Linked DNA regions of Mus musculus: all the other regions are reported to be linked to region 4. The links are microRNA targets in miRTarBase. Many come from high-throughput screens and were not tested one by one. Region 4 holds a microRNA gene; each other region holds the end of a gene's coding sequence.

Evidence for each region. The annotated mature microRNA mmu-miR-188-3p reads CUCCCACAUGCAGGGUUUGCA and lies in region 4 at 3,068-3,088, shown strand. An mRNA with a match to its seed (bases 2 to 7 or 8) in the 3' UTR can be bound and repressed. Matches are read on the target gene's strand: a 7mer-m8 pairs with bases 2 to 8, a 7mer-A1 pairs with bases 2 to 7 and ends in A, and an 8mer does both.
Region 1: the mRNA of Btrc is a reported target of mmu-miR-188-3p. The part of its 3' UTR that is shown has no 7-base or 8-base seed match.
Region 2: miRTarBase lists Med13l as a target of mmu-miR-188-3p. Seed matches in the 3' UTR shown: 7mer-m8 at 2,602-2,608.
Region 3: miRTarBase lists Tshz3 as a target of mmu-miR-188-3p. Seed matches in the 3' UTR shown: 7mer-m8 at 2,846-2,852 and 7mer-m8 at 2,793-2,799.

What each region holds. Positions count from the first base shown.
Region 1 is chr19:45,525,718-45,531,403 of GRCm38, forward strand. Btrc (beta-transducin repeat containing protein) reads left to right here. Exons shown (of 15, transcript NM_001037758.2): 14 at 1,547-1,739; 15 at 3,256-5,686. The coding sequence ends at 1,708. Among named protein-coding and RNA genes, the nearest start is that of Gm19639, 15 kb to the right of the region's middle.
Region 2 is chr5:118,761,289-118,766,974 of GRCm38, forward strand. Med13l (mediator complex subunit 13-like) reads left to right here. Exons shown (of 31, transcript NM_172424.4): 30 at 1-110; 31 at 1,413-4,150. The coding sequence ends at 1,545. Among named protein-coding and RNA genes, the nearest start is that of Gm42015, 79 kb to the right of the region's middle.
Region 3 is chr7:36,770,191-36,775,876 of GRCm38, reverse strand. Tshz3 (teashirt zinc finger family member 3) reads right to left here. Exons shown (of 2, transcript NM_172298.3): 2 at 2,324-5,686. The coding sequence ends at 4,044. Among named protein-coding and RNA genes, the nearest start is that of Gm36722, 75 kb to the right of the region's middle.
Region 4 is chrX:7,245,394-7,251,079 of GRCm38, reverse strand. Mir188 (microRNA 188) reads left to right here and starts at 3,024; the gene lies at 3,024-3,091. The region is part of intron 2 of Clcn5 (chloride channel, voltage-sensitive 5); the gene reads left to right. Mir532 (microRNA 532) reads left to right here and starts at 2,583; the gene lies at 2,583-2,678.

The DNA.
Region 1 (5,686 bases), not on the chromosome of region 4:
GGCCAGTCTGGTCTACAGAGTGAGTTCCAGGACAGCCAGGGCCACACAGAGAAACCCTTTCTCAAAAAACTAAAAAACAAAAGAGCAAATTAGACAGTAGACTAACTGTAGTACAGTCATACAATGGGATATTGGCCACTAATCTTTTAAAGGGGTAAAGTAACTGCTTTTACTTATAGTAACAAAAACAAACAAACAACAACAAAACATTGTTCTAATATTTGAGTAAAATAAGCTAGGCACGGGGCTGGAAAGATGGCTCAGCAGTTAAGAGTGCTCTTCCAGAGGTCCTGAGTTCAAATCCCAGCAACCACATGGTGGCTCACAACCACATGTAATGGGATCTGATGCCCTCTTCTGGCATCTGTGTCTGAAGAGAGCAACAGTGTACTCATATACATAAAATAAATAAATAACATAAAATACATAAATCTTTAAAAAAGTAAGCTTGCACAAGCAAATGTATGCAGCATGTGTGTGTTTCTATGAATTCGAGGGCAGGTAAAGATCAGTGATGACATTGGGGTGCAGCAGACACTGACTGGCAGGGTTGAAAGTCCTTTCCAGGAAGTTAGATGTAGTCTGCACCTGATTTAGGCAGTGTTCACTCCCTCATGTGCAAAATTAGGCTCTGACCCCAGAACAGCCAACCATTAAAATTTTCCAAGTTGCTAGGCATGGTGGCGCATCTCTAATCCTGGCACTCAGGAAGCAGATGCAGGCATATTTCTGAGTTTGAGACCAGTCTGGTCTACAAAGCAAGTTTCAGAACAGCCAGGGCTGTTATTCAAAGAAATCCTATCTCGAGAAAAGAAAAAACAACAACAACAAAGAATTTGGCAAGTTGTTGACCATATGTGGGTAGCTCCAGATTGGCCATGGTAGGACTTTGTGAATCATGAGAATCTATAAATAGTTCTTCACATTAAGGAAGTTTCTTTTTCCTCTAAGGTTTGCTTTTATTTTATGTCCATGGATGTTTTGCCTGCATGTCTATCTGTGCAGTTCATTGTCCTCAGAGGCCAGATGATGTCAAGTCCCCCTGGAACTGTAGTTACAGATGGTTGTAGGCTACCATGTGGGTGCTAGGAATCAAACCTGGGGCCTCTAGCCAGTGCTCTTAGCTGCTGAGCCATCTCTCCAGATCTAGGAAGGTTGTCAGCACACATTTCCGGCATGTCACTACTTACTGCGGATCACCCCTTAACTCCTGATGGTCAGTCAAAGGAACTCGAAGGGAGACAAGACCAGGGAGGTACTAAGGAGCTTTCTCCTCCAGCCCAGAAGGCAGTGTTGACAAGCCAGCATCCTCACTGCCTTTTTGCCTCGGTAATAAGCGTGGTCCCTGTGTTGCTGAGATCAGTTGTTGCCCAATATTTGAGCTTTGCATCCTAACGATGCTTTGCATCCTAACGATAGTGAACTGCTTCCTGTCTGTGATGAACAGTGAAAGAGCATACCTGAGCCTCTCTGTAGGCTCCTTCAAACAAAGAGGCTTTTGATTTTGAGTTCAAAGTCTTAACTCTTTTTGTCTCTGCCTCTTTAGGAGCATTCTGGAAGAGTTTTCCGCCTCCAGTTTGATGAATTCCAGATTGTCAGTAGTTCACATGATGACACAATTCTCATCTGGGACTTCCTGAATGATCCAGCTGCTCACGCTGAACCGCCCCGCTCCCCTTCTCGGACATACACCTACATCTCCAGATAAATAACCCAACACTGGCCTCATAATTGCCCAGGTATGAGAGAAGAAGCATGCACGAGCCCCGTGCTAGGAGATGGAGGACTGGCTGTGGGTGCTGCCCACTCCCAGAGCCATCTCACTCTCAGACCATTTGTGTCACCCATCCCTGTACAACAGGAAAGCAGAGCTGACAGCATGAGATAAGGCAGGGGCTGCCCCAGTGAGCACCACTCTCCCCAAGGTACAGTTCCAGTTTAGAGGATTCTTCTTCTGTTATTATAGTTCCTTCAGTACAAATGTTATCAAAGTAAAAGGACATTTGAACAGTTTGAAAACGAGTGAGCCCGAGCCTAGCATTTATAGTTCTTAGATGAAGTACCTACAGGGGAGCCCCTTCCAGGCTAACTTATCAACGTGACTGGAAATGGCTCAAGCAGCAGTGTGCCACTGACATCACACAGCTCTGCGTCGCTGCCACGTCATTCTCGCTGGGAACAGAAGGTGGCTTCCTTGCCTCTACTTTCTCTGCAACTTCTACAGGAGAATACCTGGTTTGTTCAGCCCCAGCAGCTACTTGAAGTTAGTACCCTTCCCACATCTCTAGCACCTCTCTAAAACAGAATAAAACCTAAAGTACCCGTGCATTCTGTATGAGTGTGTTTGCCGTTGGCATCCGCTGTGGTCACTGGCTCAGACAGGTTAGGTTATTGGCTTTAGGAACTTAGCACCAGCCTTTAGCTCCACGTCACTTCCTGTTTCCCACACTACCATTGCCTTGTAGTTACCACAGATGTGCCTTTCACTACACCCCTGCACCTGTCTTTCTGAGGGGGTGATCGGCATCTGGGGGCTCCCTCAGTTTCTCTGCTATCGTAGAGGACACAGTTGCTAAGTCACACTGTCACACGAGCTGCCATACCCTGATGAGGGAAGTGAGTGTAGGGCCCACTCACAGGTCTGCATGAAGACAGTGTTTGCAAAGCTCTTAGGACGTCACTCATCTTTTTATAAAGGTAACCGTGGTCACGCTCCTGTACCCACCATATACTTATCTGCTCTTTCTGCCAATGTTTGGTTTTTTTTCCAATGTAAGAGCATTTTGCTGTTGGGGTGGAGGCCCCTGGGGTATTGAGAACCTGGCCTGGTTCATGCTAAACACCCGTTTAACCACAGAAATGTGCCCCTAACCCTTGCCGTTATTATTCTTCCTAACTTTGTTTACATCTGTTTCCTCCTCTCGCTGCTGAAACAGACACTGCCCTGAGAGCCTGGTTTGGTCTTTTTGAATCATCATCTAGGCTCCCTTCTTAGGCTGTCTTCTCTGTTTCTATGGCATTAGCTCTCACTTCTACATAGAGGAGACAGAGCTTTTATCTCCAGGCTACACTTCCAGCCACCACCTACACCCTCAAAGGGATCAGGAGCACGGTCAGAAATCCGCCTGCCTCTGCCTCCCAAGTGTCGGGATTAAAGGCGTGCGCCACCACGCCCGGCTGAACATTCTCTTTTCTTAAAGCAAGTAAAAAGTACGGGGAAAGGTGCTGATGACTGTTGGCTGTGTTTTCACACAGGACTCGTTAATGTTGCAGTATTTAACAGACCTGCCAAGACCAGGATGAACAACAATCAAACTCCTACCCGGATTCCCGGACGGATGAGCGAGGAGCAGGGCTTTGAGACTCCTGTTGGGACACAGTCGGTCAGCAGCCGACCAGGACGGCCTGCTCGGCACCGGCTGCCTCAGTGCTGCTATCAGAAGATGTCTTTATCTTGTGTGAATGATTGGAACTTCCAAGCCTCCCTCCCCTTCCCTTCCCCTTCCTCCCTGCACCTGTTTCCCTCCCATTGGGTTCCAGACAAAGATGACTTATAAATATATTTAGTGTTTTGCCAGAATCTCTCTTGCTTTGCCGTTAAGCAGAAGAACTAGTTTCCCCACCTGGCCCACTTCTAGGGGACAGGGGCTGCAGCTTCCAGGCAGAGACTGCCTGGCCTCCTCCTGTTAACTGCAGGAGTGTCCAGCATCTGGCCAGAGCAGTCCCAGCCACTGCGTGGGAGGAGACAGCTGCCTACACATCTTGGAGGGGAGAGAGAGAGAGAGAGAGAGGAGAGGCGCACACACACTGGAAGATCTGCACTGCTGCCTCCCTCCATTGTCTGGGTGTCTGTCCCTCTTCCCTGCTCCCATACTCCATCTTGAGCCTGAGAAGGTGTGCAAAGAGAGTCCTCAGCTAGCATGAGGCGGATCACCTAGACAATGTGACACTTGCAAGAGTTGAGTTCGTCCTTATTTCCAGCCCAGGCTTTTGCTGCAAGTGACCAACCTGGGGCACCAGTGGATTTGTGACCATGACATTGGTCAGTCACATTTGCAGCTTTCTCCTTCCCTGTGCCCTGGGGAAGGGCAGGAATGTCCTGGGCACCATCAGTGCTGTGTCTGCTTCGGACTCAGCGGTCTTCCTCGGTCCCATGTAGAGTGGAGAGGAGCTGCTGATTGCATTCCTCTCATTAACAATTAGATGTGTAATAAAAAGCATTGTGCTTCATCTTAAATCACTGGCGAGGCTTGGCCTGCACAAAGGCTTGGAATAGCCAGCACCAGGCACCACTGCACTCTGCTCTGTGGCTCGAATTTGTTCCTCGACTGAGCTGGAAAGCACCCAGGGACCTGTAACTGCCCACCAAGAGCATAGTAGCCTAAGAGATGGTCAGGAGAGAAACAGATTCTGGGTTAGGCCAGTAAATGTCAGCATCTCAGCCTTCCACTGCAGGTCCTTATGCCGAGTGCTTGCAGAAAGGCGAGGCTGCCAGAGGGGATCAGGGTGAAGCTTGGCACACAGGGTTTACTGATAAGCAAAAGCTGCCTTCTCTTTCTTTCCTTCTCCCAGCCTTATTTGCTGTCCACTTTCCCCAGCCAGTTAGCTGGCAGTCAGTGATGACATAAGCGGCTGCACTTCCACAAGGGCAGAGCTAAGCAGGTCGTGTACACGGCTGCACTGGGCCCCTGCCAGTAGGCTCCAGATGCAGACACTCATGGCCAAACCTGGAAGTACTTGAACTGAAAACCAACTTAGTTACCCCACAGCATGCACAGGGCCTGCCAAGGGGTGACTTAGGCCACAGTGCAGCCTCGGTTTCACTTGGAAGCCAAGCAGTCAGACTGTCATGCTGTTCCTAACCGTGCATTTGAGTTGAAGAAAACCAACTGAACAAGCTGCTTAAAATAGAACGGGGCCCATCACATGTGGTCACAGACAGACCACCTTCACCTGAGCAGGAAGTGGGGCCCTTTCACAACTGGCCCTCAGATAGACCACCTTCACTTCACTGGTTTGCAAGTTACCCCTTGCCCAACGTGTCCCACTAGTGAATGCCATTACGTGCTGGGTCAGGTCACGTGTACAGATTGCCTTCCCTGTGTTAGCCGCATTTCTCCTTTCCCAACCAACCACGTGTTGCAGACTTGTCTGGTTAACCCCGCCGAGTCCCTTGTCTGTTATGTTGACTGTTAATAGTGAAGGACTTTGCTGCAAAACGGGTCAGACATGAAGAGACCTAAGCTGCTTCAAGAAATGGTCTAGTGGCCACAAGTCTACCAGCCCTTCTTCAGTTCCATGCTGCTTTAAGAAGTTAGGAGCTGGAGGACATCTGCCTAGCGTGGATGCCCAGGATTAGGGGGCAGTGTGGGCACTGCTGCAGACTGGTTGGTGCCAGGGCTGTGCTCTCCTCCCAGGTTCAGCTGGAGGGTGCTGTTCTGAAGCCAGCCGGGAAGTGTGGCTGCCCGTTGTCTCAGGCTGGGGTGGACGCTGCTCACTGAAGCCCATAGAGTGGTTAAGCTCTTTCTGCAGCTTGCCCTCGCCACTGCTGATGGAAATGGGAACAAAGTTAAGTGGTCTGAGCACCTGAATTGCTCGCATTTCTCAGCTCTGGGGGTCATTTACCAGTTCATTGTAGAAGAAACAATCAGGTAAGAAGTTCATTTCCAGAGAAGGTGAACCCCGC
Region 2 (5,686 bases), not on the chromosome of region 4:
TCCCTGCATCACCACATCTCTGTAGCGCAGACCGATGAGCTCCTTCCTGCCAGGACCTCTCAGCGGGCTCCACACCCTCTGGACTCCAAGACCACATCTGACGTTCTAAGGTAGCTCTGACTGAGTGGGAAAGTGGCGCTCCTTCCTCCTTGCCCCTGAGGAGTGCAGGACAGGGTGGTGCTCAGAGACACTGCTGCTTGTGCAGAGCAGCAGAGTCCACTTCTCCCCACGGTGCAGGGACACACAGTGTGTGCACTCAGTTCACCACACAGGAGGTGCAGGGACACTTCATTTCCTATTCCAAAGAGGTGATGCAGGTGTCAGCCCTGGGCAGAAGAACAAAGGTTAGGGAGCAGAGCCTGGGAGTGGCTCTGCATGGAAAACTCAGTTTGACCTTCTCTGCCACAGATAAGTATGTTCGATTGACTAGAGCACTAATTCTTTGTTATGGAATGCACCTCAGATGCACGGACTCTGTTTCACTGTTTTCATCAGGGCATAAAATTTAATGGTGCATGCCTGTAATCCCAGAACTTGAAAGAGAAGGCTAAAGAACCAGGAGTTGAAAGTCATCCTTACTTACTTACTGAGTTCAAGCCCAGAGTCCAGCCTGAGCTCCGGAGACACTGTGTGGATGTGCATGTGTGTGCATGTGGATGCACGTGCCAGATGCCAGCCAGTCTCTTCCTGTCTCTCACCGTGCTCCTGAGATTGGCCTGTGTCCACCTCCTCTCCCCTTCCCTCCTCCTGCTATTGGATTATAGTGTGCACTGTTGCTCACTGCTTTACACGGGTTCTGGGGCACACACTCAGCCTTTCTGTCACTAGCTGAGATATTGCCCCAGACCCAAGACTGGATCTTCAAAACAACAAGCAGACAGAAGCTATCCTGTGCCTTGAGAGCTGAGCCTTTCTGGGTGCTCTCTGATGTACTGTGGTTTGGAAATGGGCGATGGACAGGTGCCTCACTAGCAACTTGGCCCCCAGGGTCTCTGATGGAACAGAGAGCAAGGGTCTTGTGCAAGTTAAGTACAACCATGCACACCTAGGATACCCATGCACACCCAGGCAGACAACTAAGGCTGTGGTCAAAAGTATCAGGCTAACCTGCCATAGAGAGCAAGGCCCTGTCCATCCCTGTTGATTTTTTTCCAGTGACCACATCAGAATAACATGGAGAAACTTGGAAAGCCGAGTGTCAGTAAAGTATTACATTCTGAACAATTCAATATGATCAGTATATTCTCATTTTGGCATCTAGCCAACATGAAACAGTTTTCATTCAGTGGCTTCCTGATCCTGGAGGCCCTGAGGTGGCCATGCTGGTGTGCAGGGACGCAGGGTGGGCCACGTGGGCCCCACACACCCCAAGCCTGTGGCCCAGAAGCTGACCTCTGTGCTCTCCCTGGCAGGTTTGTGCTGGAGCAGTACAACGCCCTATCCTGGCTCACGTGCAATCCAGCCACCCAGGACCGCACTTCCTGCCTTCCCGTCCACTTCGTGGTGCTCACGCAGCTGTACAATGCCATCATGAACATGCTCTAACCGGGAAGGGAAGCGCTTGCCCTCTGCCTCAGCTCCTCCTGCAGCCTTGGCCAGGGAGCCTGCTCCACTCTGCAAATGCCCGGCCTTTTTTAGAGCACTCCCTATACCCCGCACTGTGACGCCTTCTGAGCAGGCTCATGCTCCTCCTGCAGTGTTCATTGCCACAGTGACTTCTTGACGTGTCTCACGAGGACCTGGAAATTTCCATAAGCAGTGACTTGAGCCAATGTGTGATATGTGCAGCCTGCAGTCCCCGGGAAGTGGCGGCTGTTGGTGGCTGAAGAGGCAAGGAGAAGAGACACCGTCCTTTTGCACAAGAGCCTGCTCTCAGCCTCTGTTTAGTACCAGGCTGTCCAGCCCTCTGAATGCAATCCTCTAGCCAATGGTGGATGCCTGGGGGTCTCCCATACTTCATAACCTGGGATGTGTCACAACTAAGAGCCAGCTCCAGGACAGGATCTAGTGCTGGGGCCTCTGCCTCCCCCGCCTGTCAGGAGGGTTTTAGTTGATGGCACACCTGTGTAGACACAGGAGGTCTGGGGACAGCTGCATTCTGTTTATTTATTTTTCATTTTGTTGTAAGTTTTTTTGCGACTTTGTTTTTTCTAATCTTGAGGACCAGGTACAGTAGCTGAAGCCCACTGAGACCCACCGTAGGATTCTCTGAGTACATACCTCTGTCCTAGAAGCCAAGAAAGGAGTGAGAAGAAGCGGGGAGGCCACCTAGTGGTAGACTCGGTCAGACAGTCTGTGGCTGCAGCCTGTGTAGGTTGCACCCCTATATGAAGATGGTCAGGCTCAGCCCCGAGCTGGAGGCAAGGACCTTCATCACTTCTCTATACAGTCACATGGAAATACCTTTTCTAGAGAATTCTTACAGAAAGCCAGGTCTCTCCTTTCATTAGATCAAAAGGGACTCGTGTACATATCACAACCAAAGTGTTTGCTCACGAAACCAGTTACAAACACAGTGAATTTTTTCTGGACCATAGGAATATTGTTTCAAAGAAATAGTGCAACTCAACCGTTACATCAGTACTTGAAGCTGAGCCTCTATGTGGGACTTTAAAAAAAAAAAAAAAAGCCTTTTTAAAGCATTCGCAGCTGATTGAAGTATTCTTGACTCCCTGTCCCAGACCTTAGGGTTGACTTTGAAACCCTGTTTCTAGCCCTTATGTCGTATGTTTCTGTCTGTGGGTGGTGGGTGTAGACCGGCTTCCCAGAGCCTCCTGACAGGCCCGGCACTGAGCCCGGCTCCCGTGGGAGAGTCATGCAAACTAAGTTCTTCCAAGAGACTTTCATGTCCTGGTTATTAACAAAGAAAAGGAAAAAAATGTAATAATTGATATGGTTTTGTAAAAGTATTTTTCTTGAGATAATCTAACGTTTAAAACATTATATTAACATGTGGTGGGGATGTGAAAGCAGAGAAATAACTTGTACATGGGTGACTGTTCTCTGTCTCACCAACTGGGGGGGTTGCTTTCCAATGTATAGCTTAAAAAATCTGATATATCAAACCGTTTGTATCTAACGTGTACAGTGTAAAATTGACTTAAAATATCGCAGTGCTATTTTTTCTTATCAGCGAGGAAATCCTCAAGGCCTTTTGAAGAGCGTAAGATGACGGAGATGTAAACTTGTATAAAGTCACCTCGGGGAGGACGGGCTGTAAACTAGATATTTGTAATCTTTACCACTTGGGATTGCTTCCTCTCAGAGTTCACCAGAACTTTGAATTTCTCTCTCTCTCTCTCTTTTTTAAATGGGCTGTTTTTACTGCAGGGGCTTTTCTTCCCTAGAAACCCAACTCTACGCAGAAAAAGTGAAAAGGAAAAAAAAAACACAAAAAAAACCAGAAAAAAAAGCTATAAAAAGTTTTAAAAGAAGGCAGCAAAGGGTAGTTTCCATCTGGTGTCTTTTATTTAAGTTTTTTAAGTTAAGAAAAGCTGGTGACATATTTATACGTTTTTGTGCAAAAAATAAATGAATGGCAATAGATTTAAAGAAATCTTATTATGTACTTCTGTGTGCAAAAGTCTGTATAATATTTCCCCTAAATATGCATTATTTTACCTGTGAGTTTTTTACAGAATTAATCTGAAATGTACAAGCCCTGGATTTGCTACAGAGTGAGAAGTTATTTTATTTTATTTTTTTTTTATTTTTTATTTTGAGAAAACTGCAGAAATCAGAACTCCTACCATGGTTTGAAAAGGGAGGCGGGAGGGGAGGCGGGAGGGCTGGTCCGGCATGCCTGTATGTATCTCTCAAGAGCCTTTTTTTTAAAATGTAAAAGCTGTACATTTTTGGGAAGTTCTGATTTTCTTTTTCTTTTTTTTTTTCTTTTTGTTTCCTTTTACCTTCAAGCATTTTGCAGTGCGCTTCTTTTATATCTAGCAGACAATTGGAAAGAAATACAAAACCTATGTGACGTTCATTTAAGAACCACAGCCCAGTGCTGGTTCAATACACTAAAGACTTTGATAAAAGAGAATCAATGGCAAAGGTCTCCATTTTAAATGTCATTCATATATACCTTGTGGATGAGAGCTATATACTTTTACACACTTTTTTAGAGGAATAAATTATTGAATTACTGAAACCTCGAGTGGCTCTTTTCCCCTCCCACCCCCTCTCTGTACTGAGATCACCCCGCTCCAGTCTGCACATGCGTCACAGACGGATCTACTGCTCTGGCCTATAGAGTGCACGTGGGGATTGCATCACCCACCACCCCAGTGGCTGTTCCAGCATTCCCAGGTCGGGTCCCAGATGCCACCAGCACCAAGAGCCTCTTAGGTGCTCTGGTGTTTAGGTCCTTCGCGTTCTTGAGCAGGGCAGATCTGATCGTGTCTAGTCCTGGGAGGTTTGCAGACAGCCCTAGGACAAGTGTGCATCCCCCCCTTTCACTACTGATGTACAGGCCGGTGGCAGTAGCTTGCTATCAGTCATGCCACACACAAGCAAGTCCTGCTAAACACACACCATCCGCTGTGACTATGGTGTTTCTTTCTCCAGTAGAGAACCCACTCACTCGGTCTTGGGTTCACTCTCCTGTCCGTTTGAAACATTACCCAAAATGGACAAGCCCTGGGACTCGGCGGCTCTTCCAGTAAAAACCAGAATAATTGGAAGGGACTTGGTTTTTTCATTGTCCTCCATCAGCTTTGAAATCTAATCTCAGTGTCTCCGAATTTAGACAGCAATTTGCTGGGTTGACTCCATAGGACCTCCCCCCCACCACCACGCCCATCCCCCTGGTCACATCATTTACAGTGAAAGGCAAGGGGAGTTCACAACAAGTGCTCTGCAAAGCAGAAAGCTCAACACTAAAAGGCAGCCATGTATCCATGTGTTTCCATTGGCGGTACCAGCCGTGACACATGCGCATGCACACACACACACACACACACACACACACACACACTCACTCCTCAGATCTCCCTACTCCAACGTCGGCAAGCTAAACAGAACTGGGTGGGTTCTCGAGGGCCTTCCTGTGCACTTTGCTCAGCTCACACATCAATTGGTACTCACCTGATTCCATCATTGCTGACTTTACTCCTACGGGAAGCAGGACTTCCTGTAGCTTGTGGCTCAACCCGAGGTGGCAGAAGTTTTGCTGTAGACGCGGAGACATGATGACAGCCGTTGGCCATCCAGCTGACCTTCTGCAACTGGTTTCCAATTCCCACAGCCCTCCACTCCACCTGTGAGCCTGAGCGGTTTTATGTCCCTGCCTTTAGAACATCACAGGGTGAGGGATTTTATGCCAACTGGTATCAAATAGTAAGACCCCCTTTGGAAACTGCTTTTCCTCAGTACAAGGACTAAAAAGCTTCCGAAGACTAGCTACTGAAACAGAAGCCACACCCTGGAGCTCAGTCTGCTGCGGCCATGGTCCTGGTCACTGTGAGAAGTAGCTTGGCTCTCCTCGTGTTGGAAGTCCTACCCGAGGTGCAGTTTCTAATGTGTGGCCCACGTGCTCCGGGTGTTGCCAGAGTCATTTACATCTACTCTACAGAGAGCCACTATTAGTTACTATTTCCTGTTACTAATGACAGGTGTCAAGGGAAGGCTGGGGATCCAGATAGTTTAGAAGATGGTTTATGTCCTGGGCCTCTAGCTCTGCATCCGG
Region 3 (5,686 bases), not on the chromosome of region 4:
ACACACACACACACACACACACACATTCCTTCTACAGAATGAAAATTGAATGGAGATACCAGGGAGACAAGGTGCTCACCATCAAGCCTCTCAAACTTTCGTGTAAGATTTTGTTTAATTATAGAATTCTTGCTGCCTCAAATTTAAAAGATACATCCTTGATATTTTTGCTAAATGTTGACTGCGGCGAATAGCTAAGATGTGGCATATTGATTTCTTGTTGTGAATTGAGCTGTTCAAGCTCCATTTAAGATTTTCATCTTGCATGTAGCCCTGAGCACATCATAGCACCATAAATTAGTTAAATTGCACATTTATCACAAATGTTATTTTAAGATACTGCGTAAATGTGATGGCTGGAAGATATACCATAGGACCTCAGTGAGACTGAGCGTGGGCGGTGGTTGAGGTCAGGGTCACCTGCGCACCTGTGATTAAAGCCCCCTCCCTCTGTGAATCCACCATCCCTCCAAGAGCCATTTGCAGGCCTCCTTGGACACCAATCTCACCATTTACTCTCCTTCTCTGTTCACATCAGCCATAGACTAAGTGGTCAACAGTAGACTTGGTATTTCCTCTGGATGGTCCTTCTTGATTTGGGGCCCTAACGGGCTATGATCTGGTAGTATTCTTGCATATTGCCTACCCTGTTGCAAGGCGAGGGTTTAGTGGTTTAGAGGAAAGTGGTCCACTTCCCAATGCTAAGAAGACTCTCTTTTACAAAGAGGTTTGCATTCAATAGCTCTCCTTACTAATACTTCCCTGGGGGTAGAATTAATTTAGGGTTTCCATTAGTACCAGCAGGCTGAGTCCAAGGCACAACTGAGTGTGTAACTCACTACCCACCTTGGCTATCAATCTCCATGTCTCCCCCCAAATTGAACAGCCCTGATAATAATCCTGGGGGAGGGGGAGGAGGATTTCTCAGAGTGTTGGGTCCTTCTCAACTGTGAAGAGGGGGGCTCCACCATCACTCACACAAATCCCCTCTCCCTTCAAGCCACATGGGCCCTGGTGATGACGAGAGTGTTGTCAGTTTAATCTGTTAGATGCAGGACTTTGGATTCTAATAAACCGATGCTATATTTAACCTGTGAAAAATTCAAGAGTGGAAATCTGGGCTTCAGGATGCAAAGATGCAGAAAGCACAGCGGGGAGGGGGGGTCTCTGTCTCCTGAGCCAGGTTCTAGGACGGTAGCAGGTATCCTGGTAGAATATAACAACCCTCAGCTTCCTCCGGGTAGAGGGCCTTAGAGAGAAAGACATGGGTTGATCACACTGGAGGCAGAGAGCAGGGCAGACCTTGGACCCAGAGGCCGACAATCCTGAGGCTGTGCCTTACCTGTGTGCCCCAAGTCACAAGGCTGGAGTAGAGTCCCTGTGTCACTACCTGCCAGACACCCATTTTAAACTCCAGCAGAGTTCTTTCCAAAACCAGAGAGAGGGAGGGGGGGATTGCTAAGAAAACAGAGTAGATGGCACATTTGGACTTGTCTTGACAAAAAGGGGTGGGGAGAGGGAAAAACCCGTAGGCGTGTTGCCGAACATTTTTGAAAGGGCTTAATTTAAATTTTTAATAAAAGAGTATCTTTTCTTCCTTCAAGTTGAGGTGTTTTATGTATTACATGGGTGTATCGCATCTCTCATTTGTATAATTCTAGGTTAGGAGCTCTGGTTCTGCCTAACTGCAAGACTAGCTTCAATATAGTAATAAAGGTATTTTACAGTTCTACATGATGTTCTCAGCATTTTGTTGGAGTGATTTGCCAGGGCCAATAAAAGCTTGTGATTATCATATAAATGCTTCCTTCCTACTCCTCTCCCCTTCCCCCTACCTACCCCCCACCCCTGCCATGGATGGGTCCGAACTCCTCCCAATCCCTACCCAACCTGGTTGTCTCTGCTTGCTTTAACTTGGGAAGAACAGATGACCCCTAAGTCTGAATACGTGGGTCCTCTCTACTTTCCCCTTGGAAAATCTTAAGTTAGCAAGAATGAGCCATTATGTACAGAGTCTTCTTAAGACCCTTCAGCCCAGGAACACTATGGGGCATCCAGAAAGGACACCAGAGCCACCCAGGAGAGGTATCCAGCGTGACCTGACTGAGGCTCTGACAGTGGAGACTTTATTACGACATTCCTTGCCCACAGGGGTTTAGCCTCATGTGCATCTCTGATGTCTTTCCAATTTTTATTCCTGAGGGAAATGCTATACAAGCCTCCGAGAGTTCTTTATAAACACCAAAGTTCACTAAAACTCCCCCTGATTTACGCGCAGCCTCCAACTGCCAGCACCTGGCAGACACAGCAACCGAGTCAGTCATAAACAGATCGCATACAATTTAATTTTAATGTGCTCGTTAGTCGTAGCACATCTCAGACATAATTGTGAACGCAACACAAAATTATAGCAAAAAGACAATTTTAATGCTGCCGTAGAAAAAAAGGGTTATATGAAGAGTCACATCATGGTGTGCCATCGTCAACAACAAAACAGGGCACAGAGTGTGTCACGGTGTCTGTGGTGTTTACATGCCAATATTTTATACATAGGTTCTCATATGGTGTCAGCTGTCAGTTATTTCTGCAAATTAACTGCCAGAAATGGAGACAAGAATGGCTTGGAGAGCCGGTTACCACGGGTTACCTTTCATAAGCCTAAAGATAAAACTGCAGTGTGGGATCTTGGGAGAATAATTAGGAGGAACAAAACAAAGTTACCGATTGAAATTAAAAAAAAAAAAAAAGAAAGAAAGAAAGAAAAGAAAAGAAAAAAGAGAAAGGGAAAAAAATCCCACATTATGAACTAGCAACCGAGAGGGCTTATAAATAAGTGAAGGGGCTGTCCCACAGAACGACTCTTGACTTTTAAGCAAAGGATTACAGTACAAACATTTTAAAGGCTTTATCAATGTTCAGGAAATACAGTACAAGTTGGGTTTTTTTTTTTAATCTTTTTTTTTCCTTTTCGAATAGACTTAACCCTTTGAGCACTGAGTTTACTTTGAGCATCCTTTAATTTCTAATAAATACCTTTAAGAACCATGTGCAAAATAGTTATGATGCCTGCCAGGGATGGATTTCCTGACCTCAAAACAAATGATAATAGAATGCTAATAAATATGTATAATTTAAACATGAACCCTCTATCAATATAGATGTGCCGTATAGCAAAACAAACATCATACCTTGCTTTGAGATAATGCTTCTGTATATTTTATAAATGCTATCTGTGGTATTTTCTGTATAATTTACAATGTTTGCATGTAAAAAAAAAACCATAAACCTTAAAAAAAAAGAAAAAGATAAGGAAATATACACTATACAGAGGCATGGCTTGTGCCCAGAGTATAGCAGATACATAAAACACTTGTTATAAATGCAAGAAAGAAAGGGTCATTTAACCAGTCACATTTTCCCATAAGAGTTTGAAATCTATACAATATATACATCTATGTTTCAATGTGAAAATAATATTCTTTTAAATTTCAAGGCGTGTCATACCCCTGCATAAATGGAGGTTCCTAATATTCCTTATAACTAAGCTGGTAACGAGTTTTAAAAACAGAGTTTCATACATTATTATTATTCATTATTATTTTGTTTTATTATTATCTTTTTTTTATTAACCAAATTAATGCAAAAGTGCTTCGTAGTACTCAGAGGGCTAAAGATGAAAGGGTGGGAAATGCCAGCACACCCAAGTCTCATGGAAAAAGTGTGCCTGGTTTCCTTATAAATGCTTAATTAAACCGTCTGTTAATGCATGCAGCTTGAAGCATCGAGGGGATGCTCACAATTAAATCCCATTTACACAAAGTTCCAAACACTTAGCACTGCGTTTTAACCTTCGTTATTTTACCAGTAACAACAGCTGATTATATGCACCTCTCTATTAAACACTGTACAGTTAGACCGAACAGTCCAGCCCAGAACAATCCTCTGCAGTGAACATAAGAACGTGTGCCAAGAACAAGACAGAGAGGGGCTTTAAGGTGCCTTCAGCATTTTCTCCTCCAGTCATTTCCGCTCTGGAGCAAACGCTACTGCTTCTCCAATTCAGAAACGAACAGGAGGTGGTCTTCCGGTGATTTCCCGTGGGTTTTGCTAAGGTGAAGTTTAACAGCATGCTTGCTCGCAAAGGTCCGATTACAAAGTTTGCACTGGTAGGTGGTCCCCAGATCCTCCTCCGGGGAGGATGTCACCAGTTTTTCAGACGGCGACTTGGTTTGTGCTATTTGATTGTTAATCTGTTCGGTGGACAATTTTGATAAGTCCCGTAGCCGGAAGCCCAGATGTGACTCTAGGTGGCTGATGTACGTGGAAGGAGTCCTGATTTGTGACGCACAGTCGTTACAAAAGAACACTGGGTGTCCAGTGTCCAAGTTTTTGAGGAACTTTGTTCCACCTGTCCTTCGAAGTTGGTACTTCACATTGGCCAGCCAATGGCTGATGGTGGTCATGGAGAGACCGGTGAACCTGGAGATGTGCATGCGCTCCTGGGGGCTCAGATCGGACATGATGTACTTCCCTTCTGAAGTCTGCCGCAGGCTAGCTGCAAACTGCGCCTGCAGGATTAGCAGGTGCTGAGGATTCCAGTTTGACTGGCGGCCTTTCCTCTTCTGCGCCGGAGTCGACTCCTCGGCCTCTTCCAGGGTGGCCCCGTCAATGTCAGACTTCTCAGAGATGCTGGAAGGAGTGGAGGATTTTGACGTGTGGCTCTCTGTCAAGTTCTTCAACATATCGGATATATCTGACAAGGCATTCTCACGCAGCGGCGAGTTTGACATGAATGATACGACGGCAGATGTCTTTGCCGTTGTCACCGTGGATGAGGAAGTTGCCGGGGATGTGGACGTGGGGGACAAAAGCCCTGAACCTAAAGAGCAACCTTTGTCGCTCTTCCCTTTTGTCAAGTCTATGGGCTGGTCATTGTTGACGTGGTAGAAATAGCGGTCCAGATGCTCCGCCTTCTTGGCCTGAAGGGGTGGTGGGGTGGCCACAGCTGCCTTCTCGGCCAGACTGTTGCTCATCTTGAAAAGCATGCTCATGGGGTCCAGCGCAGGCAGCGAGGGCTTGGCGGCCTTGCCCAGGTGGATGTTCATGACCGACTGCAGGGCACTCAGGGGGTTCACAAAAGGCTGTTCTGGTGGGTGGTCCGTGATAATGGCTGTGCTGCCGCTGAGACCTCCGCTCAGGGGCTTCACCAGCTCCTTGCCATTCTCTACGGGCTCTGCGGAGGGGCTCGCCTCCTTGCACGCATCTCTTGGTGGGCTGGGGCTATTCTCCTGACTTTTGAAGCTGCCGTCGCTGGAGGCCTCCATCTTGATGGGTTCGCTCTGCTCGCTGCTGCACGGGGACGGCGTGGCCCGCTTGGGTGGCGAGAGCTTGCCTTCTGGCTCTTTCATTTTCTCCTCAACTTTGGCAACTTTCTCCGTGACTTTTTTCACCAGTTCCTCCATGGCGTGAAAGTTTGTCTTGGGCATGGGAGAGGTCTGGCTGCTGGGTGGAGAGACCAGGGTCTGGGTTTTTGTGGGAGACACGATTTCGCTGTTGCCAAACATGGGTTTCAGGGGCGTGCTCTTCCCCGAGGAACCCAGGGACAACTTCATCATGTTGGGGAGCTGGTAGGCAGCGTGGATGCTGGGATAGCCGCCCCAGCTGGGAGTGCCATTCTGAGCCTTGT
Region 4 (5,686 bases):
TCAAATTTTCACAGTATATAAATATGGGTAACTAGTTGTACTAACCTTGTGGTGTTGTATATATTGAAACGTGGAATGACAGTATTTGATTCAGGACCCCAGCCCACAGGATGGTCCAACTCACAGTCAGGATGGATCGTCTCTCCTTGGTTAAGCCTTTCCAGAAACTCTCACAGACATGCCTAGAGATATGTCTCCTAGGTGATTCTGAATCCAATCAAGTTGATAAAATAATGAAGATTAACTATCATATCTGGTTTAAGCTTTGGACTTTTTCCACTTCTCATCAATCTTGAGCTAATCTGGTCTTGCAGCTGTATTTGTAAGTAAATACCTCCTTCGTAGGTATTTACTTTCATATTTATGTTGCTGAATTCCATATGTTTTCATTCAATTGTATATTAGACATCTGCCCCAGGTGTCTAATAAGCATCTAAAACTTTAATGCATCCAAAGCCGAAATCCTGGTTTTCTTCCCTTGCCTTTCAAACAGACCAGCTCCCCTTCCAGTGTTGTGTAACAACAGCTGCATCCCCTAGGTGCTCAAGCCAAGATTACAGAGCATTTGAGTAGGTTGAGTCTCTGGAAGGATCTTTGAAATTTATTTTTTTAGACTTTAAGTCCAAGGCATTATGAAATGCAGTTGGCTGTACTTTTAAAACAGGTCCAATCTAACACACATTAGAAGTGGCTAATATCCCATTGCCTCTAGTACTTCCACTTTCATTACCTCTTCCCTGGGCTCAAAAGCCTTGTGCTCTACCTTTTGTGTGAGCACACAAATATGATCAGGAGATAAAGCCCACTTTTCCGGCTTTCTTTCTGATGGCTCACATTACACATTCTCAGCTTTCTTTTTTGTTTGTTGATTTTTATTTTGATCACATGATTGTACAATGTAAAGCAGTCAGGTCTCCAACTTGCTATTCACCTGCCTCAGCCTCTCATTGCTGAGATTATGGAGGGTGTACTGCTACACCCAGATTATATCCTATAATCATTCTTTCTAGCTGTTCTTTAAGTATGACCTGGTATTGTTTCATCTGTAGGACAGGGAACATGATCATTACTTCATAGATATTTGTGGGAACAAATTAGTTGTATATGAAAAGTACTTAATGTTGCAGATTGGTTCTAATGTTATTTGTGTTAATTTGGCTCCTGAAATCATATGGGAGCCCACATGTCTGTGCTGAGGGTCTCTGCTCCTAGTTGGCTCTGATTGGGAAATAAAGTTGCCAGTGACCAGTGACTGGGCAGGGAGACAGAAGCCAGACTTGCAGGATTCCCCAGCAAGAAGCACAGCAGAGAAGGAAGAGGGGATTCCACAATGACAAGGGCACAAGTGACAGACTATGCAGGGAAGGTACAGGAGGGAGAGACAGCTGAAATGTAGGTACAAAGGTGTTGTGTCTGGCCAGTAGATCACAACCTGGGTTCTAGCCTGGAAAGGCATTTTGGAAACCTGGAAGAGAAGAGGGGCTGGGCTGCGCGAGATAAGGAAGGAACCAAGACAAAGCTCTCTGCTCACGGTTCAATTTTTACTATTTTGGCACTCAGTTATAAAGGAAGGGGGAAGGGGCCCAATTCCCGCCAAATAATCTTGGGATCCAGTAGCAGGGTGATCACGTGATGGCTTCGGAACAGCAAAGCGGCAGGTTCCAGCAGTAGGCGTGGCAGAAAGATTGAGCGGGAAGCTCCACCCCTGAGCAAGCAAGGTTTCAGGCTGGGGGAGGGGAGACTACACAAAGGGGAAGGTGGCCCCAGAAGGGCTGCCCAAAAGGGTTCAGGACAGCAAAGATAAAATATAGATTTAATAAATTTTAGCTCAGGAATGTGGGAGGGGAGTGTGTTAGCTATGTGGAGGTTCAGGTGAATGCTCTCATCCAGTGGTTGGATGAGAGCATCCACCATAGCAGAAACAACAATATGAACCAACCAGTAGCCCCAGAGCTCCCAGGGACTAAACCACCAACCAAAGAGTACACATGGAGGGACTCATGGATCCAGCTGCATAAGTAGCAGAGGATGGCCTTGTTGGACCTCAATGGGAGGAGAGGCCCTTGATCCTGAGAAGGCTCGATGCACCAGTATAGGGGAATACCAAGGCAGGGGAGTGGGACTGGGTGGGTTGGTGAGCAGGGGGAGGGGGATGGCAAAGGGGGTTTTCAGAGGGAAAACCAGGAAAGGGGATAACATTTGAAATGTAAATAAAGAAAATATCTAATTTAAAAAAAAGAAACATAGAAGAGCTTAACAAATTACCACAACTTAATACTCTACCAAGAGCAAATATAAACTGGCATTGGGAATAAAAAGAAAAGAATATTAAAAACAACTGGAAGAGGGGGCAGTGAGTGGAATATAAAGTGAATAAATAAAATGAATAATTAAGAGTATAAAAACAAATAGTCCATAGGAAGTGAACACTCCTAAAGGCATATATGTGCATGTTCACAAATACACCTTTTCATTGTGCTATGTCTAAGGCAGTCATCATACCTTTCAGGACCAACATACAACACAGACAAAGACACACTGTTGTACATGCATGCTGATTTGTACACAGGAGAGCACGCCTACAGATTTGCTTTTTCTCTTCCATGCCTTGAGTGTAGGACCGTTGACATCTTAATTACCCTCCCACACCCAAGGCTTGCAGGAGAGCAAGCCTTCTCTTCTCTCTCCTGTGCATAGGCATGACTGCATATACATCTACAGCAAAGACATGTCTCCTCTCTCTCATGTGCTCTCTGTGTGGCGCATATATATATATATATATACATATATATATATGTATATATATACACACAGCATTGCCATTCGCTATCTCTTCCAAGTGACTTTCCTGCCTGTAATGCCCCTCTTGGTCCGCATGTGTGTGTTCCTCCTGCCTTACCCACCATCAGTTTCATGTAGCTGGTTTGTTGTTTCTGCGTGATCCCTGGGCTGCTTTCTGTTGCTTTTTCCATAGAAAGTACCTACCTGTTGTGCCAAGAGAGTGAACCCTTCCCTGCTCCCTCTCTCACATCCCTTGCATGGTGGAGGGTGAGCTCTCTGAAAACCCCTCCCACATGCAGGGTTTGCAGGATGGTGAGCTTCAGCTTTCCTTGCTCTCTTGTGCATGGTGGACATATGCATACACAACTTCATAAAGAAAACCCCACATACCCAAGGAAACAGCCATCTGTCCTGTCTTCCACCTGACATGCACATCTCACAGTTTTCTTTCTCCAGGGAGGGCTCATGTGTCCCATGCTGCCTTTGAACTCCCTGCATAGCTAAGGATGATGATGGAGCACTTTTTTTCGAGACAGGGTTTCTCTGTATAGCCCTGGCTGTCCTGGAACTCACTCTGTAGACCAGGCTGGCCTCAAACTCAGAAATTCGCCTGCCTCTGCCTTCTCAGTGCTAGATATAAGACTGGAGTGGCTATGCCTGGCTTGATGTTCCAATTCTGATCTTCATGCCTCTTTGTCCTGAATGCTAGGATTATAGGAATGTACGCCTGGTTTCTGCTGTGCTGGGGATGGAACCCAGGGTTCTGTGAGTTCTAGGCATACTTTTATCAACTGAGTTATATTTCCAGCCTTCTTACCTTCTAATTTTGTATTGTATTTTGTACAGAGTATGGACCCTTACCTTTGGTGACAGTTATTGCTTAGAAAGAAGGGAAGTCTTTTGTCCTGGTCTTGCTTTTCCTGTATATAGGGGAGCAGAGAGAGCCTTCTCAGGACTCTCATTCTCAAGTTAGCTGGAAAGAAAGCCATCTAGCTATTTCTCATAAGCTTATGCTATGAGGAAATTTGCACGTACTTCTTTAGATGCATTTGTTCACATATATACTAGATTTCAGGGAGTGGAAAAACCCGCACTGTGTCCTGCTTTCTCACATATATATTTCTTTGTGCAGGAGAGTGTATGATAGCTTTAAGACATTTATTTGGATAGTTCTTTTTTGTTTGATACTGAAACTCTTTCTCTTGAAAGCTGGAACTTTTTTCCTCATCCTGTTCCAGACCCAGGGTTCACAGCTGATTTGTTTGGTAGGCTATTCAGCAAATGTCGCTTGGTTATCTTTTTTACTTTGAGTATTTTCCTATGCACCCACGTACACAGCACTAATCAGGGCTATTAGGGAGATGAAGGCAGTAAACAAAATGATTAAACACGCAGTGGGTCATTGTTGCCCAGGAGAATGAAAAAGCAAGGGAAACAAGTATGTAATGCGTGGAGTGACAATAGTAGGGAAAGTGGTGGCATTTCAGTTTCCAGTGGAGCCTTTAGGAAAGGCTGCTGTGTACTGAGAGCATCAATGCCATTGAAGCAGCAGCAGAAGTGTGGAAGGCTTCAGTCACAGATGGAGGGAAGAGCACTGATGATTAGTGTGAATCTGCACAAAAGGAAGGATTGTTTTCTTTTTGTAATCCAACAAAAGTCATTGTGCCATTATCATGTTTAGAAATAATTACCGATTCTTTGACATCATATATCCATTGTTCAAATTTCCATTTCTTTTGGAGGTATCATAAACTAGGATCTAAATAAGACCCTTGCATTAATTTCATTGGCCAGTATTTTAAGTGCCTTTGAATTATAAGCCCGTCTTTACCTTTTTCCTCATACTTATTTGTTGGAAGAAAGTAGGTCATATATCTGCGTGGCTTTCCACAGTCTTGTGTTTTTATGAGCACATTCCTCTGATGTAGCTTCCATGCTCCTTTTATTTGCATTTCCTATTAATTGAGAGTTGTATCCAAGAGCCTTATTAGATTCAGGCTTAATTTGTGGGGAGGAAAGAACTGCCTCCATTCAGAGATACAGGTCTTTGTGTGTTACGGTAGTTTGCCATTGATGCTCAAATCCTAGAGCCATTATTTCATTAGCAGTTGTAGAATGGTGGCATTCCACTATTCACCCTCCTGTTAATTGCTGGGTAACTTCTGTAAAGTAAAAACTTCCCCTCATTTACTATTTGATTACCTACTAATAACAGTTTTCCTAAGAAAGAAAAGGTAAATGCTTGACTCTCTTATCAGGGCTAAAAATGAGTTATTGCAAAGATATGCATTCAAAAACTATTTTGATAAACACAGGGATTTAAATGTATTTAGTTTTTCCCTCATTGCAGTTCTTCTCTGCAGTGAAGCCCAAATCTTCCATCTTCTGCCAGTGTGAGCTTCTTCAAATATGGTGTCACATGTCTGTAACTCTGCACTTAAGGTATGAAGACAGGAATATCATTGCAAGTTTGAGGCTACCATAGGCCACTTAGTGAGTACTGTGCCAATATAGACCCTGTCGCTGAAAGTCAAGCTTAGTTGGCCTTCAGTCCTTTGGCTCTAGTAGTTACTTGATAACTTCTCTGCCTTCAAGGATGCAACAGTGCTTCTTACTCATTGTCATCATCACTCTGACATATGACATGCTTTCAACAAGCATTTGTTTCCTTAAGTCAGATAACGTATTAGAGTTCATATATTATGTGGGCATCAGAGTTCTCATTGCATCTGGATTGGTAGTTGTTTTTAAACTTCTTCATGATCAATAGTATTAACAAAATGTTTGTCTCATACTGTTAGTAATAGATAAAATATATTATTCAGCTTAAGTTCTTATTTATAATTCAAAGTTAGAGTTATTAGGGATTTAGATATTTAATTGTTTCATAACCCTCGTTTTGACT